Struthio camelus: one gene and its partner. The protein of the gene in region 2 interacts with the protein of the main gene of each other region in a biochemical or structural test. Links are inferred from orthologs where the notes say so. Each region holds a gene or a part of one and is shown on either strand. Other genes may lie near its edges.

Region 1 (3,749 bases), on a different chromosome or scaffold from region 2:
TCACTCCTCACATCCGCATCCATCTGCATTGTTGGCCTTCAGGCAGTTTGCAATGTAAATATGAACCAGGAAACAACAACATAAAGGTAATCCACCACGGTAATTATTATCATGGCTGTTCAGAAAAAGATCACCTGCAACCCAAGTTTGCTAATAAAAACTGGACTGTGAGGCATCACAGACTGATATTGCTGGATTATTGCCACAGGATGGTACCAGATATAGGCAGTTTGGAGTTTTATTCATTCCAGCTCCACTGCAGAGATAGGAAGACTACTAAGCAATTGCCTTTACGCTTTAAAGACTCAATTCAGGTATACCCTCAAAACACTGAAAAGCATCGCAGGAGTTCGGGACTGATATCTGGCTAAATTAGGCCCTTCAGAAAAATTGTCAGAAAATTAACCATGAAAAACAAGAAAAATGGCTTTTTCTTTAACTGCTGTACTGAAGAAATAAATGAGTTGGAAAACATTTGAATACCAAGAAGCCTTAAAATATATTATTTGGCACTGCAGTCCCTCTGGATCTGGCTGCGTTTTAACTTTATAGGCTCCATTTTGTAATTTAAGTGCAAGACTTGTATGCCGATAATATCCACCAAGACAATCTGTATGCCACTGCACGAAGCTACAACGGATCTATTGCATAATCAGTTGGTAAAGTGTTTGAGCTATTTGAATTTTGATGAGGAAACCCCAACGTGCATTTATGATACAACCCCAAACGTGCATTTATGGTACAACCACGGGGGACAATATCACTTAAAGAGGAATCTTGCACCTTTACTTTTTTGGATCGGAGCCTGGGTCCGCAGCACCTTGGAGAACTGCATCTGGCAGGCCTATTAAAAATGAAACATGAGACCTCATGGCTAGTGAGTTTAGACTTTCAATTTCTTCCTCGCAAAACCTTAATTGACTTGGCATCTCTGTATTGGGAGAAATCCTATGCTTTCTCGCAAATTCTGCTGTAATTTAATAAAACAAAATGCATCATTATTGCTCTTTTTCAGTATCAGTCTTTATTAATAGACTCCGGTCTCAGGAAGAACACAACCTGATAGAAGAGATCACAATAGAGTTGTTTACTAGATTTGTTTCACTTTCCATATCTTCTCCAACTCCGTGTCCTACCAGCTCAGAGAAGACGCTTGGACTCACAAGGGGGAAAAAAATATCTGTAAGGAATCCAGCTGTGGGATGCTTTCTGTAGAGTACATTAGACCAGAGCTTGCCGGTTGAATATTTTCTAGTCAGTTATGCTTTATGACGGCGCCTGAGAAGCGAGCGAGGCGAAGGGGTCGGCGAGCCGCCGAGGGCACGCCGCCCGACCGGCGAGGCAGGACCTCGGCGGCCAGGTTGGACCAGCCCAGACCGTCGGGCACGTTCACGGCGACGCGACCGGCTCAACGTCCGCCTGCGGATGAGGGTCAGGGCGACCCGGGTCCGACAGACCCCGCAGCTGCCGGGCAGCTCTGAGGGCAGGCTGGACATGGGCCCGTGCACCAGCAGGGTCCGCGGCCAGGCCCAGGCACGTCTGAAAAAACGTTCAAAAAACCAGAACGAGAAGTATCTACTTCTGCCTTTGCCTCGTGGTCGCGCTTTTCCTGGAGAGGGCTTTCGGGGCCCGCGCGGCCTCCTCGGGCCCACCATCGCCCTGCGGGAAGTTCCCTTGCCTTCTTCGTGGCCAGCACACTTCCTCACGCTCGTCCCCGCGTCTTCTCTCAGATTTTCAGCGTTAAAACCTTATTTCCGCCGGGGATGCAGCCAAGGCGGAGGGGAAAAAAAACCCTCCCGCCCGCTCCGCTTCGCACCCCCTCGCATGGGCGAGGCCGCGAGATCGGGCGTCACGGAACGCTCGGGTTGGCGCGCCCGCCCTCCGCCGCCGCGCGCAGGGAGGGGACGGGTCAGCCATCTTGGGCCGTGCGTGCGAGTGAGCGAGCGGCCGGGCGGGGGAGGGAAGGAGCGGCCGGCTTGCGGAAGTGCCTTCACTCCCCCGGAGCGGAGCCAGCCGCCGCAGCAGCGAGCCCAGGGGCCGCCCGCCTTTCCCCAGCACCGCCGCTAGCCGAGCAGCATGGCAGGCCGGCTCCCAGCCTGCGTGGTGGACTGCGGCACGGGGTGAGCTGGGGCGGCCGTTGACAGTTGGGTACCGGCACGGCGGCGGCGGCGTGGGGGGGGAGGGGCTGGGCGTGTTCCCCGCCGGCTGCCGCAGATGGCGGCGGGGGTCGCGGCGGCAACCCGGTACCTTTCCTTCCTCTCCCCTCCCCGCGCCGCATCCGCGGGCCGCGCCGGGGTGCGGAGGGGTGTCCTGTATCCCCCCCGCCCCCCCCCGCGAGCCGGTCGGTGCTTCTCGCCTCCCGCGGAGCCTTGCTGCCGGCCGGGCTCCCCCCCCCCGCCCCCCCCCCCGCCAGGGGCGTTGGGAGCCGCAGGCTCGCCCTGCCGCTCCGCCGCCTGCCCAGGGTGAGGGGCGGCCGGTGGGCTAACGCCGGAGCCGGGCGGGCTAGCAAGCGTGCCAGACACCCTGGTGTCGTTCCCGCGGGTAACTAGGCGCCGGCTTGTCAGCAGCGCTCCGTCCTCAAGGGAGTCCTCGCCTAAAGAGCGTGCCGCTTTGGGTGTTTTTGTCAGATGTGCATAATGTCATTTATTCAGTATTATTTCTCTGTCTGGGAAAGGAGAAAGGGGGAAAAAAACCCCTCCCCCTCTAGTGAGCAAGCGCAGAGTAACTTCCTTAGTTTTGTCAAAGCCTCTTCCTGCTTTCAGGCTTTTATACCTTATAAGGCAGTTTTCAGTGTCAAACCTGAACCAAATCCTTTTTAGAAACCGTTTTTTGTGTTTGGCGGCTACCAGATGATGAAGAGAATGAAGTCCTAGTGATGTATAACATGAAATGTGCTTCGGTAGAAGGCTTTTGGGATTCAGAATCCTTTTTTGTTGTTGTTGCATGGCTTTCATAGCCCTTAGGAGACTTAGGTAGCAAACCCGTAGGTGCCCGTGGGAAGCCAACCTGGCAGGGTTACACTGTACCGCTTACAACAACACACCGAGGAAGTGAAAACCTCTCCCTGAGCTCCTGTCTGCAGTATGGTTTTACAGATGGAATGTATTTTTTTGAATATTATGTATCGGGTTTTCGTTGGAAAGAAAGGACTGTTATATTTCAAAGTTCTGTGTCTTGAGCTAGCACAGTTAATGTACTAATTCTTAAACTTCTCTTTTTTGTTGTACTTCTCATCATTTGCTAAAAATAGTTGAAGAAATTTCTCAGTAGGTGCAGAACAGATATGGGTATTTACAGTATTCATAGATGACTTTGGGGAGGGCATGTTCTTTTGGAACCCAGGGATTTGCTATGCTTGTCTTCCCTCCAAAAGTATCCACTTGGTCTAGGGCGTTAATAAATTGGTCTTTTTTTAAATGAGCAGGTATATATGTGTCTATAATGGCTGTATGCTTAATAGTTCTATGAAAATGTCCTGCCTGCAGTTACAGCAAGAACTAAAACTTTGAATTTTGTGGAGTGAAGGGGAAGTTAGCCCAGTAGGAATGTGTGTGTGTAACTGAGTGTAACAGAAGTAACGTGATGTCTATACATGCTATTTACTTTCCTTTTAAAAAAAGATTACTTGAAATTTTGAGTGCGCTCTGCCACACGCATAAGCAGCTTTCTCCCATCCTAGAAGTTTGTGCGTTGTAGGTAGTCCCATTAAAGTCAGTGATTGTGTCTTTATAGGTTTGCAAACTATAGCT
Region 2 (3,749 bases):
TGCCAAAAGTCCTTTAGATGGAACTTTAGTTGGAAAAATTGCTATAAAAATTATTTCTTTAAAAAGTGAGAACCCTTTGTAACTGCCATAAGGAGATGGCAGAATTATCAGAGAGAACTTTACTCTGGCTTCTACACATAAACAAACTGGAAGTTTAATCTCAGTGCTTTTTTAACTTATTTTATAATTCAATTTTCTGGATGATTTTGATAAAATATTAGTTTAAGCAATGCACTAAAACTTAAATTACAATGTTCTAAATTGTATTCAAATCATGTGTTGCTAATGCTCGAAGTCGTTTTGGTAAAAATATGGCAATTGCAATGCAGGAATGAACAGATGAAAAGTGGGTTGTAAGTGTGGTTGGCGTTCCTGCCGGTAACCAGGAGGACAGATGAATTATCTCCCGAACCGCACAGCAACAGTGCCAGAGACGATCCCCAGAGGATCCAGGTTCTCGGAGCACGTCTCCTCTCCAGGAGACGGGTTTCCAGGAGAAAGTTCTACTTAGATGGCTTTAATATTAGAGTATACTTCCAAAATTCTAACTTCTTCTGTGCTAAATATAGAAAAGTTTTAGCCTGTTTACACTGACTCCACTGTACTTTATTTCTGTTGGCTGGGAGTAGCTATCCCACTGCCACTGGGCACTGGTAAGTCATGTTTTTGCTTCTAAAACTCATGAAGGCATGTTCATCTGGAACTTTTTATTATTAGAGTTGGAGATATTTCTAGTGGGGGGAAAAATGTATATCTGCTTATTTCCCTTCCCCAAAGAGTATAAGCACTGGACAAATAATTGAGAAATGATGTCACCAAGTCGAGACATGCGACTGCTGGTTTTGGAGCTTTCAACGCTAGTGTATTTGCTAGTGTATTTGTATCTCCTTTGCTCGGGTACTCGGAGGCGGTTAAAGGCGAAGCACGGGCCGGGTCCTGGACACCCCCCCCCCCCGCCCACTTAGCTGCGGTTTCCGAAACGAGATGGTGCAGAAGTGAGTATATTGAAACAAAAGGTATGTTCAAACCTCTGCTTAATTAAATATAGCCCTTTGAAATCTCCTGCCCGCTCCTTTGTAGCGTCCTCTCCCTTGCTCCGCCGCTGGATTTTCACTAGCGTTGCTGGGGGGGGACGGGGGACGGGACGGCTGAGCTGGGGCTCAGCGTTTCGCCTTTTCCCTTCGCCAGGCTGCGCCCCCCGCGGCCGGGCCGGGCCGGGCCCCGGCCGCCTCCCGCCTCCCACCTGGAGCCGCCCCGCGCTGCGGGAAGAGGAAGTGGGAGCTCGGGAGAAGCGGAAATTGCAGCAGCAGGAGCAGGAGCCGCCGCCGCCGCCCGGCCGGGAAGCACCCGCGGCAGCGAGGGCAGCGGCGGCCGCAGCAGCCGCCCGGCACCAACGTGAGCGCCGGGGCCGGGGCCGGGGCCTCCCCGCCCCTCACCCTCCCGGGGCGGCGGGGGGGGGCCGGGCCGGGCCGGGCTCCCCGGGCGGCGGCTTTGTTCGGGCCGGGCCGGGGGCGGCGGCGGGGCCGGGCGAGGGGCTCCTCGGCGCCGAGCCGCCCCTGCCGCGGGCCGGGGCCGTCCTCGTCGCAGTAGACGGCGTGAGGTTTCCGTGACTTTTTTTTTTTTTTTTTTTAATCTGTTCGTAAGCGGAGAACTTGGAGGAAGCCGTTAAAAAAAAGAGCCCCGGTGGCGGCCGGGCGCGGCCCCCTGCGGCGCGGCGGGGGGCGGCCGGGGGCCTGCTGCTGCGCCGGGTGTCGCTGTGGGCGCTGGTGCGGGGCGTTTTGCCCCCGGGGGATGTTGCGGGCGGGGCGGCCAGCCGTGACCGTGAATCAGTCGTTACCGGGGGGGGGGGGGAAGGCCCAGCTGGCCAAGCCGGTTCAAAGCGTGTATATTTAGCCTCAGTGGGCATGAACGGGAGGATTTTCTTTTTCCTGCAGAAATTTGGGCATGTGAGTCAGTGAGTCATAAGTAGATCATGTTTCTCTCCCCGTTGTGTTTGGAAAGGGACGGACGGGGAGTAGCAGGGCTGCGCGGCGGCGGCGAGCTGGGGCGTCCGCGCTGCCTCTCCGGCAGAAGTCACCGCGCTCGTCTGAGGACCGTTGCTACGCGGCTTTCCTCCTCTTCGTAATTCAGTTTATAAGAAGCAGGTCTGAGGCACGGAAAAGCATCGATGGTTTTGTGTGTGGTTTAGGGAAGCAGGTGGTCTTCCGACCAGGACTCTGTTTTGTATTTTGGAGGGGTGGGAATCCTCCTTCCTTGAGGATTGTTTTTAAGAGTTTGAGGAGGAAGGAGAGAAATCCAGACTTAACGATCTAGCTATTGGGTTTCTTTAAACGCCCAAGCACAACTGCATGCACAAAACTAAATGAGTGCTGGAACTATGGACTTAGGGGGAGAAGGTTGTATTTCACACAGCTCGAGGGACAGAACATCCACGTGCGAATATGCACGTGGTTCAGCTCTTGTAGTTTAAGAGTTGCGTTTAGGTGGCAAGTGCCGTACGCCCTGCTACCGGCACAGCAGAGAGGTGCGAGCTCTCCCTCCTAAGAGTCACCGTGAGTTTGTGTTTGATTAGGAAGTTAAACCTTGGCCCTCACACTGAGTTTCGTTATTGAGGTGGTTTGTTTCCGCTTTCCAGCGCTTTCGTTCTGGTGACAGGTTTGTTTTTTGTGAATGCGCTTTGGCCAAGGAAAGAGTACGAGACCTGAGACACAGGATAGCATGAGCTAAGGCTTTAGACTGAGGCTATTCAAAGGAAAAGGATAAAGTACCAATGTTTTAAAGGATTTCACAGCAAATATTTAATCTTCTTATTCTTCTGCATATTAAGTAATTTAACAAATGCTGGTTCTTAATTGCGTAGGAATTGCCGTTTGGACATGGGAGACCCCAAGATGTAAAAGGAGATCTATGCGATGTTGTCAGGATGTTGTCTTCTCTGCTCTTATGCCCTCTTTCCAGACCACTCTGTAATTTGCTGCCTTGGTGTTTGATAATTTTTTCATTCCTCTCGTTATTATTACCAGTCCTGGCATTTCTGAAACGCTTCGTAAAACTGGCACATCGGTGTATTCTAGCAGTCTGTAGAACAGGCAGTGTTTTTTCTGCATAAACTTTAGCTATGGATTGTTAGTTGCATGTTTTAAAATCTGAGTTTGTAGAGCGCACGCTACTGTCATAACATGCCTACTTCTATGGAATTCTGTTTTTTATATGTAAATTATGTACAAAGACAGCCTGTGTCCTAAAGAGACTGCAGTTTAATAAGCACATTGTCTCCATGTGCAATAAGCTCAGAGATTCAGAATCTTTAAGTAATTTTATGTTAATTTTCATATTACGTAGCAGAACAACTGCTTGTCCGGTACTGTGCAAATGTTAATAAATGCCACCTGATCCCTGGAGAACTTTTCATCTTTTTGGCCTGGATTTGTATTTAAGGGGGAGTTTTCATTCCATTTTCTGTGTAAATGAAATAGTCCATGGCAATCATCCTTATAATCTGTTCTTAATTAGAAGAACGAAGAAAAGTGTGTAAGAGGTTGGAACCTTCGGCTTCATCCTGAAACATTCAGACAGGGCACTGAGTTTGCATACGTCTTTGACAAAGGAAAAGTGCAGTAACTTGTATACTCTGCTGTTGCATGCAAGTGGACTAGTGCCTCGATTCTGTGTTAATTTTTATGGTTGTTTGTATTTCTTTCATAATCCTGAAACTTATTACACAACAGAAGAAAGATACGCAGATTATA

Evidence for each region.
Region 1: the proteins of CTTN (region 2) and ACTR3 form a complex in vitro, tested with the Homo sapiens proteins (3 studies listed by BioGRID). The link is inferred for Struthio camelus from reciprocal best matches to the Homo sapiens genes CTTN and ACTR3.

Annotation. Positions count from the first base shown.
Region 1 is NC_090947.1:37,613,386-37,617,134, reverse strand, and holds the start of ACTR3 (actin-related protein 3), read left to right. Parts: upstream 1-1,018; 5' UTR 1,019-2,076; coding exon 2,077-2,120; intron 2,121-3,749. UniProt on the Homo sapiens protein: ATP-binding component of the Arp2/3 complex, a multiprotein complex that mediates actin polymerization upon stimulation by nucleation-promoting factor (NPF).
Region 2 is NC_090946.1:33,056,171-33,059,919, forward strand, and holds the start of CTTN (src substrate cortactin), read left to right. Parts: upstream 1-1,186; 5' UTR 1,187-1,395; intron 1,396-3,749.